Nothobranchius furzeri: one gene and its partner. The protein of the gene in region 1 purifies or fractionates together with the protein of each later gene. This does not show direct contact. Links are inferred from orthologs where the notes say so. Each region holds a gene or a part of one and is shown on either strand. Other genes may lie near its edges.

Region 1 (4,579 bases):
TGTGACTAGACTTAATACACGTGACAGCCCCATCTAGTGGACAACTTTTGTTTCTGCACATTCCTGTAGTTATACCCATTTACCGTTATTGAGGTGAAATCCTCAATATATTGTGATACTTATTTTAGGCCATATCACCCTGCCTTAGAAGAAAGGCTTTTAGCGCTTCTTTTTGTGGTTTTAGAGACAAGTTCATGTCCTTTAAAACAGAGGAAAGAGCCGCAGCGAACTCCGCCTCAGACGCCGTCTTTACTGTTTATTGTTTAGCACTGAGCAGCGTTGCGGTGTGTGACAAACGCTGCTCAGTGCTAATTGGCTGGGTCAGAATTCTCAGGGTGTGGGTTTTTAATGGGTTTGTTACCAGGCCCTTTGGAAGCACTGGCCAGGCTACTGAATTATAGCCATTTAAACAAAGTCCAGCCTTGCTTGTGTTTGGAACCAAACTGTAATTTAATAAAGCTAATAATTACTATGCATTACATTAGTGTATGACGTCTTTCTTTGAGACTGAAAGTGATTTTCAGACTTTGACTTTCCTTGAAGAACATTCAATTCCCATTCCAACATTCACTATTTTCTAGCTGGTTTTATTTGTCTGGAATTTATTACACTCTCACTGACACCACTATTGTTAAAGTCAGAAGTTTTTGGCTCCACTTAAATTTGAATAAATGCATTTGTTCTGACAGATGGCTAAATTAAATGAACTTCTGAAGCATTTTTGAATGAAAGTGGTGATTTCAGTACTGGATTCAGTTGAAAGATTTGTTTTGTTTCATTCATAAAAATTGTATTAAATTTAATTTACTGCATCTTACTAAAATACCTTACTTTAAACACTTCAATAAGTTTTTTAGAATTGCATCCAAAACTCACTAAATCATAATCAAACCATGACATGTAACCCCATCTCCGACATCAGATTACAAAAAACATCCTCTTGACCAACTGATCTAATAATCAGATTAGGACTGAAACAGGTGAGGGGTCATAGAAAAAGAGAATAGGCAGCCTAAGTCACGCCCATCTACTTCCAGACTGTGGATCCCTGTAAGAACAAACAAATGTATGCAAGTCAGTGGGGCTATAAGTTATTTTCTAATTGTGTGCCATGGATTTCACATATGATCCGTGAATTTTAATGACACATTCTGATATTAAGAAAGCTCTTTTTTTTTCGAGTAGGAAAAAAAGTTATTTTAGATTTTGTGTGAAAATATGTCCAGGACTACGAATGTGCATCACCAAACTGCGACATTGAATCAGAAATGGAGAAGAGCAGAGGAAAAATGGCTGTAAGTTCAGTGAACTTCAAATCCTTCCTTCAGGAGGGAAGAACCACCATAAATGTTGTTGGTTTTATTGCTGTAAAGTGTTTTTGTGTTCCTTGAAAGGTGCTTTTAAATAAAATGCATTATTATTATTATAAATTTGGCCATGTGGTAGGTAGCAGCTAGGCTGGGGGGAGGAGATTCTGTGGTGATATGCAACATACCTTCTGATTTGTAGTGACAGTAATTACATATTTTTACAAGCTGATAAATCATGACTGGCGTGGTCAAAACACACAATCATTACTTTTCATTTAAATTGCAGTGCAGTAAATGGGCAGCAGTAGCTCAACAGGTTGAGGGGTTGTATAGTAATCGGAAGGTTCGATCCCGGCTCCGGACAGACAATTCTGCTGTTGTGTCTTTGGGCAAGACATTTAACCCACCTTGCCTGCTGGTGGTGGTTTGAGGGATCGGTGGTGCCTGTTCTCGGCAGCCTCGCCTCCGTCAGTGCGCCCCAGGGCAGCTGTGGCTACATTGTAGCTCATCGCCATCAGTGTGTGAATGTGTGTGTGAATGGATGAATGATACACTGTAGTGTAAAGCGCTTTGGAATCCTTACTCTGACAGGAGCTATACAAGTGCGGGCACATTATCATTTAAATGTGCGATCCAGGGCGTAAGGAAAAGCAGATTAGAAAGTAGCTCCTCTAGCCCTGTTCACTTGCATTCATTTTACCGTTCTTCAAGGGACTCATGAGCTGACCGAAAAGGGAGGAGACTTGGGCTCCCTAAGCTTCCAGATGTTGATAAACATTTTACCGTAAAGAAGGAGGTTCCACAGTATCTGACAACCACGCCACGAATAAAACCTTCATGTGCCTGCAGGGTGCGGACACATTCACGCTTGGTGAGATCCCAGACTTTCAGCTAAAAAAAGTGAAATCAAAGGAAAGACAACATTTACTGAAAGGATTTCAGATTAAGGGAGGTTATGAAGTTCTGGTGATCGGCTGATTATTCACCTCGCCATCACAAGAGCCTGACAGCAGGGTGGAGAGGCTCTGGGTATGTTTTGCCAAACAATTGACACCATCTCTGTGACCATCCAGTGAAGCCAGGAAAGGCTTTGCAAACACCCGCTCCAACTTAGTGGCATTCAGAGCCCGTGTGTACTCTCTGCTCACCTCGAACGGATGAAGGGATGGGTCATAGTTTCTAGGGACTGACAAATAAATTTTAAAAAAGTGTCTTTAAGTCAAAAACACGATGTAAATAACAAAATCTTCTTTCTACAATCACAAAAACAAACAGAGCTTGCAGTATAAGTGAGAACTAATATATTAGAGAATTAATTAAATGTTCAATTTAAACCGACTATAGTAATTCCCCAGAACAAACAGTTGTGCTATCTTAATGTTGTTGCTACATGGACGTAAACAGACTGTGGCTAGCTACGTTAGCATCTCGCAGATAAATATCCAACACTTACCACGCTGAATGTCTAGTTTAGTCTCCCGGACATAGTCGTCCGGGTTTCTTGAGAGAACTTTGACTTTCATTTGGAAGCGAAAAACAACATAAGAACTTTAGAAAATGTTTAATTTCGTTAAGACTACTGTCTTGGACATGCAACCATGTGTAGATAGTTTAGCGTAGAAGGAGTTCCGCGTTGCATTGTGGGATGGCTGGTCCTCCTCGTTGCATCATCAAGAAATTTTAATCAAGTTCAAGATTTCATATAAACAAAGAACCGGAAGACTTCATTTTGGCTTACTTTTTATTTTTAAGTTTACAATAAGCTTAAGCAGTGTGCATATGAAACTGGATTTTTTGAATAATTTCGTTGCTTGTCTGTTCATATCCTTTTTGTCTAAATAGATAAACAACTTAAATAATCTAAATGGTGTGCTCTACACAAAAAATGAAAGAGTGGTCACATGGTAAATAATAAATTATAAAATCATTAAGACAAACCAGCCTTGTCTTAAAATAAAAAATAAAAGCAATAATCACATCAGTGAAGATAAAACTAAAAGCAATTTTAATGCTTCTAAACGCTTCAAATTGTGTCAAAATTTATGAAAGAAAAAAATATGTCCTGGTTCAAAAAAGTTTGTATTTTATTTTGAAAAATATTCGGAAACCTTGTTTCAACAACAGCAACATTGACGCTTACGTACTCCGCAAGGTCGATGAAGCAGGGCTGTCATGTTGAAGAAGTACCTTTAGGGAATTTCGCCTCTTGTTAGAAACCTGTTTCAGTTTGTGGCATGCATTAATATGCGTGTTGTAGTTAAATGCTGCGGTGGCTTCAGTCAGTTGTCTCGATGTTTTGGAGCAAGCTGGAGTTTTTGGGTGATACGAGCTGCGCGCGCTGTAAACTGAGCTGAGCTAGCTACGTTCTTTTTTTTTTTTTGTTTAGCTTTTGCGAGCATGAGTTCTGCTCCTAAACACGGTACCGCTGCCGAGACAGAGCTGTCCAACAAGTCCATGTCCGCTGTCACTGTAACCGGAAGCCTCCAGAAAGTCTTCAGCCATGTGAGAATAGAAAACCTGGTGGCAGGACTCAGCGGTGGAGTTGTGTCGACGCTGGTGCTTCACCCACTAGACCTCGTCAAGATCAGGTTTGCAGGTATGTCTAGAGAATACACAGTAAAGCTAGTTTCTTTTCTCTTATTATTCGTGCACAGCCCTTGTCCACATGTGGCTTTATCTGCTCTGGCAGGTTTATTTTAAAACACCTGCACAGAGCTTAGTTCATTACTTTTGCCATAACATAATTTGAACGTCTGTCTAACGCAGTGAGTGATGGCCTGGAGCTGAGACCTAAGTACAGCGGCATGTTTCACTGTATGAAGAGTGTGTGGCACCAGGAGGGACTGAGGGGTCTCTACCAGGGAGTGACACCTAATGTTTGGGGTGCTGGTGCTTCCTGGGGTCTCTATTTCTTCTTGTATGTAAACTTCTGACTGTATATCTGCAGCATTCATGAGAAAGTTTGTATTGGAAGTGTTTCACTATGGGATGTCTCACTGTCTATTCTGTGTTCTTTTGCAGTTACAATGCAATCAAAGGGTATACAAAAGAAGGGCGTCAGACTGAACTAAGTGCAGGAGAGCACCTTGTCTCGGCGGCTGAAGCTGGTTAGTTTTAGATCTGTGCAAGCACATGCTCATTCAATCAGCACACAGCCAATAGCAGCTGATAATACTGCTCTGTGCTGGCCTGAACTGACAGAGCAGATACAAACTAATGCACAGCTTTGTTTATGAGAGCTTCACAACGTCAAATAGGTCTGTTTCCCT
Region 2 (4,910 bases), about 6.6 Mb from region 1:
TGAAATAATGCTATGCATTACGGGGCTCCCAGGGGCAGATAAGAGTTGGTCTCTCTCCGAGGCGTTGCTGCCTTTCACAGACACTTTTTCTGCACGTGCTGCAAACAGGATAGCCATCCGTCTTCTATAAACTCCCTCGGCATTCTTCAAATATCTAAAATATGCCCGTACTTCCGACTTTGCGTTCTTTGAGGGATAATAAATGTCCTCCTGAGCGCTGCCGTCTCCTCCTTTGGCCATTATTTCAGCTTTAGCTTCAAGAAAGTTTTGGTTGTAAACAGCAAAGCGCGCATGTGCCGCCGGCAACTTCAGCCGATGATACGGTGGCTGGTAAGGGTCACCGCGCCTACACCGCAGCTACGGTAAACCCACCAAGATAATATAGTTTTTTAAAAAACAAGACGGTTATTATTGTCAACTTTTTTTTAACCGGGGTTTAATGCTACACTGGTTACCGTGATATCCCTACGGCTGATCGGTCTGCTTTGATCTATTTTGAAAATTCCGATCAAAACCGATAGGGGCGCTATCGGCCGATTACGATCAAATGCCGATCTATCGGTGCATCCCTACTGCCCACAATAAAAGGACACCCTGCCATGTGCAGTTTGATCAAACAAAACAACGCCACCGATGTCACAACCCTTGAGGGAGCGAGCAATTGGAATGCTGACTGCAGGAATGTCTACTAGAGCTGTTTCCCATGAAGTGAATGTCCACTTCTCTACCATAAGCCGCCTCCAAAGACATTTCACCTGCAGTCACATGATGCAAGTCTGTTCTATTTAACCATTTTCTTTGACCAAAGAAGGACTGTGTCCTCGTAAGCAAAGGCGTCTGCCCTAGCCAGACATCGCCTTTCGAGGCCAGGCGCCTTGACATCAAGAAACACCCCTTATGGTTCTACATGGAGAAGCCGGCTCAGTCTTCTCTGCAGGCAAGGATTTGGCCACACGATGGGTTTTACAACTTTCTAGGTAAGAATGGAAGTCAAGTACTTCTGGAATTCACATCTAAAACCATTACCCATAGCTTAAAGAGGAGCCGTGGCTGCTGCTACTCATTCCTGCACACACTCCACCACTAGACTAAACATACAGCCAATTCTCAACGGGCAAAACAGATAAGTAAATGTATAGCTATGATCCTACAGCACTGAACAAAGCTGAAGCTGGTTTCCATTTCTAGCTCCTGATTCAGAAAACTGATTTTTAGGACACCCTGAGCCTCATTTACCCTGCTCTAATTTTAAAACTACAATCCTTAGTTTTCACATCTGGACTAGGTCATTCTAGACCAGCAATCGCTAACTAACGTGCAAGATAAATATTGGATTGTTCGATCACAAAGCAGAAATACAAACCTTCGTGTCTGTGTGGCTCAATCAAGACCTTCTTCCCTCCTCCAAAGCCCCTGCCACCACCCCTACCTCCTCTTCCTCTAGGAGTGCCTCGGCCGCCTCCTCTCCCTCTAAATCCTCCACCATCAGGGGACCGAAACCCCCCACCTGAAAAACAAAATGTCTCATTGGAATCTGTGCTGCATTTATGAGTAGGAAATACGTTTAACATCAACTATCACTGAGGTGAATTATTTTGTCAAAACATTTTTGTGGACTAAATGAAGCAAAAAATCTTGGATAAATGACTAAATTGATCAGACATTTTTGAACAAATAAAAGATTATATTAAAGATGGCGAGGACAAAAACCCATTCAAAAGACGGGAAAGATGCGAGTAACAGACATAAGACCACTCAGACTAGGTGAGAGAACCAATCAGAGCCCGCCTACTGAGGTGAAGAGGAGCTAGCTTCTGTTTAAACAAGCTCACAGGTGTTAAAATTAACACATTTGTGCCTTCGACAGCATCCTCACCTCTTCCTCCACGTCCTCCACGATCACCAAACCCCCCACGTCCTCCACGATCACCAAAACCCCCTCGTCCTCGTCCCCCACCTCCTCTTCCTCCTCTGTCCCCACGAAAACCTTAAACAGAAGGACACATCAGACACATTTAAACAGGAGACAGTGGTCTCTAAATGATGTCATTGTACTTTTATATGGGCCAATAGTACTTGTTTACTTGTCACTGACAGTAAAGCAATCATCTCCCTCTGAGGACAACTTGTTTTTTTCTGGAAATAAATCTTTAAAAGTTTATCTCAAAAAGACCAATTAAAATATTTTACCCAGAGAGGTTTTTAAACTATTGATTTATGTTTTCTAAACTTAAAAATCCATAAATCTGAACTTTACTTTAACCTTTGTAACAGCAAAAACTCAACTCTGCTGCAAAGGAACCTCTAGATGAGGAAAGTGGCTTCACCATTCAAGGGTTTAGGATTTAATGTTCTTCATGCTGATAAATATCAGCTTCCTCTGTTGGTGACGCGCTAGCCACACACACGAGTTGTACAGTTCGTGTTTTCTGAGTTGATGCACTAAAGTTTTACTTTCCTGTGTTTTGCTCGCGTACTTCGGTGAGTCCGTAGCACGTGCCTTAGCCGTTTACAACTAACAATGATAATATACGGTCTAATTGTTTGATCTAACAACACAGTTGTGTCTCTTGAGCTCACTTAAGATCCTAGCCATTCGTTTCTTAATGCTTGAACACTGAGAACGGTAACGTTCCATGATAATGTTCCCGGACATGCAGGGCGCTGTAGCCAGACACACACACACACACGATCCAAACCAGGCCCGTAAAGACAAATAAAAACCATGAGTTGAACAAGTCCAACTCGTCATTGTAACAAGCACGGGTACTCTACCTGGTCTCATGTTGCCCAGAAAACAGCCTTAACCCGATCAAAAATTAAGATTCTTATGTTTTTCTCCCGAATGCAGCGTTCAGATCAAGCAGCGTGCGTACGTGCACATGCTCAAAACGTGTTTTCTACTTTGCGGTTTTATGGCAGTCCGCCTAAAACTGTACGTGCACTAACTCCACCTAGCGGTCTGGAGGGTGACCGGCACCTTACCGCTTTGACAAAAACAACAAAAGAATAAGTGTTTCTAGTGATCTTGTACGGCCATTGGTGGGCAAACTGGTGAAACATTGACCCACTATGAGACTGGTTTAGGTTCAAGAGACTGGTTTAGGTTCAAAAACATACTGATGAAAAATATATGAAAATCTGGAATCTGCAGCACCGAGGCACTTGACCTATTACTTGACCTGCCAACTACCGGTAACTTAAAAATGTTTTAGTTGCTTAAAAGCTGATGTACTGAAAAGTGTTAATTGCTGTCAGGTATTTTTATAAATCCTTGAAAACTGCTGTTAAGTCTCTTCTAGAAGAAAATTAGATCATTTAGTGTTGAATAACTACAGACCAATAATCTCCTCTTTGGGGAAATTACTGAAAAACAGTTATGATCCAGCTGAACAACTTTTTGGAGACAGAAAACTTGCTGGTTGGTTTCCAGTTCGACTTTAGACAACACTGCAGCACTGAGATGGCACTGATTAAGGATTTAAATGAGTTTGGTCTCAATACAGGATTCAGGCAAAACATCTGCTCTGGTGATGCTCCATCTGTGGACCACAACATCCTTCTTGATAGGCGTCGTGAGCACCTGCCCCTTTTGCTCGAAGTGTTCAAAGTTCCTTTTTTTCGGTCGTTCGTCAGATTTTACCATACACAACTCAGATGCTGTGTAGCAACTTGTGATGGGCAAGACTCAGTTTAGGCTTTGGTCCATTTCCATTTGGATAACACTAGCTACTCTGACCTAAGGCTCAAAATTGTACAAACACTGCATAGTCTAAGTAATTTTTAATTACTTAATTAATTACTTAATTAATTACTTAATTAATTCATTCATTCATTCAGTCAGTCAGTCAGTCAGTCAGTGTAGTGGCTTGGCCTTTAGGGGGCAGCAGAGCGTCAGCGCTGACGACCTGAAAAAGACACAAGCACGCGTAAAGCCCAGTTCCTGGTTGTTGCTCGTAGAGCTGCGCATGAAAACATCATGCTTCGTGCAGTTTTTTATCGAGCTTTTCTTCCCCTCAACCGACTGTCAGTCTGTCACTATAGCAGCGCCATCCCAGCGCCCAACAGCCAGCCTGAAGTCCACTACAACAGGGTAAGAGTTATCGGACAGGCTGGACACAAGCCTACTTGTTGCTCTAAATGCGTAGAAATGTCACGGAGCGGTGGCCCAACGTTTGTACCTTTAACTTGTCAAGAGTATAGATGTCGATGGTCAGGAGTCGGTGTTCAGTGCAGAGGGAATATTTCCATCGTAGAAGCACGAAAAAACGAGTCTGAAGATAGCTTCCGATTTCAGCTTCTTTTTTCTCTACTCTGACCATCTGCTCTAGCTGAAAAACTACAACAGCCACACTGTTATAGTAGAATAATCTAGAACAGGTTTGGACAGTGTGGCTGTTGTAGTTTTTGAGCTACAGCTGTTCCATTGTTGACCAGATGCTGAAAAAACGCATAAATCAGGCTTTGTTGAAGTTTCACAAATCAGGGAAAGGTTTTACAAATCCCAAACAAGGTTGTATGCCATCTGCTATTATTGTAGAATATTCAAGAACAGGTTTGAACAGTATGGCTGTTGTAGTTTTTCAGCTAGAGCAGAGTAGAGAAAAATTGGGTGTAATCGCCCTTTAGCCGTTTCCCAAATTGGAATCTGGAATCGGAAGCTAACTTCAGCCTCGTCACGAAAAATGTGTGTTTTATGAGGTCATTGGTCCAAACTCCACTACTGTTCAGAGCACAAACACGCTGCAGTTTGAAACAACACGTTAGCTTAAAGAAACATCTACACCAGGTTTCACGTGGTGGTTTAAACTTTTTTAACTGTTTGTTTAGCGAGTTCTTAGGTGTTGCCCCCAGAGGTGGATACAGTTATGTTGAGGTCCGAAGAGGTGAGGGGGACACCCACCTTTGAC

What was found. The genes of interacting proteins can lie anywhere in the genome.
Region 2: the proteins of dcaf13 (region 1) and fbl purify together in Homo sapiens (affinity purification with western blotting; 3 studies listed by BioGRID, with this or other methods). This does not show direct contact. The link is inferred for Nothobranchius furzeri from reciprocal best matches to the Homo sapiens genes DCAF13 and FBL.

The regions. Positions count from the first base shown.
Region 1 is NC_091745.1:51,876,213-51,880,791, forward strand, and holds the start of dcaf13 (DDB1- and CUL4-associated factor 13), read right to left. Parts: upstream 2,963-4,579; 5' UTR 2,834-2,962; coding exon 2,764-2,833; intron 2,497-2,763; coding exon 2,297-2,496; intron 2,202-2,296; coding exon 2,094-2,201; intron 1-2,093. Other genes in the region: slc25a32b (solute carrier family 25 member 32b), read left to right, coding at 3,708-3,906, 4,077-4,227, 4,332-4,417. UniProt on the Homo sapiens protein: Part of the small subunit (SSU) processome, first precursor of the small eukaryotic ribosomal subunit.
Region 2 is NC_091745.1:58,449,989-58,454,898, reverse strand, and holds the start of fbl (rRNA 2'-O-methyltransferase fibrillarin), read right to left. Parts: upstream 2,906-4,910; 5' UTR 2,786-2,905; coding exon 2,776-2,785; intron 1,988-2,775; coding exon 1,877-1,987; intron 1,508-1,876; coding exon 1,364-1,507; intron 1-1,363.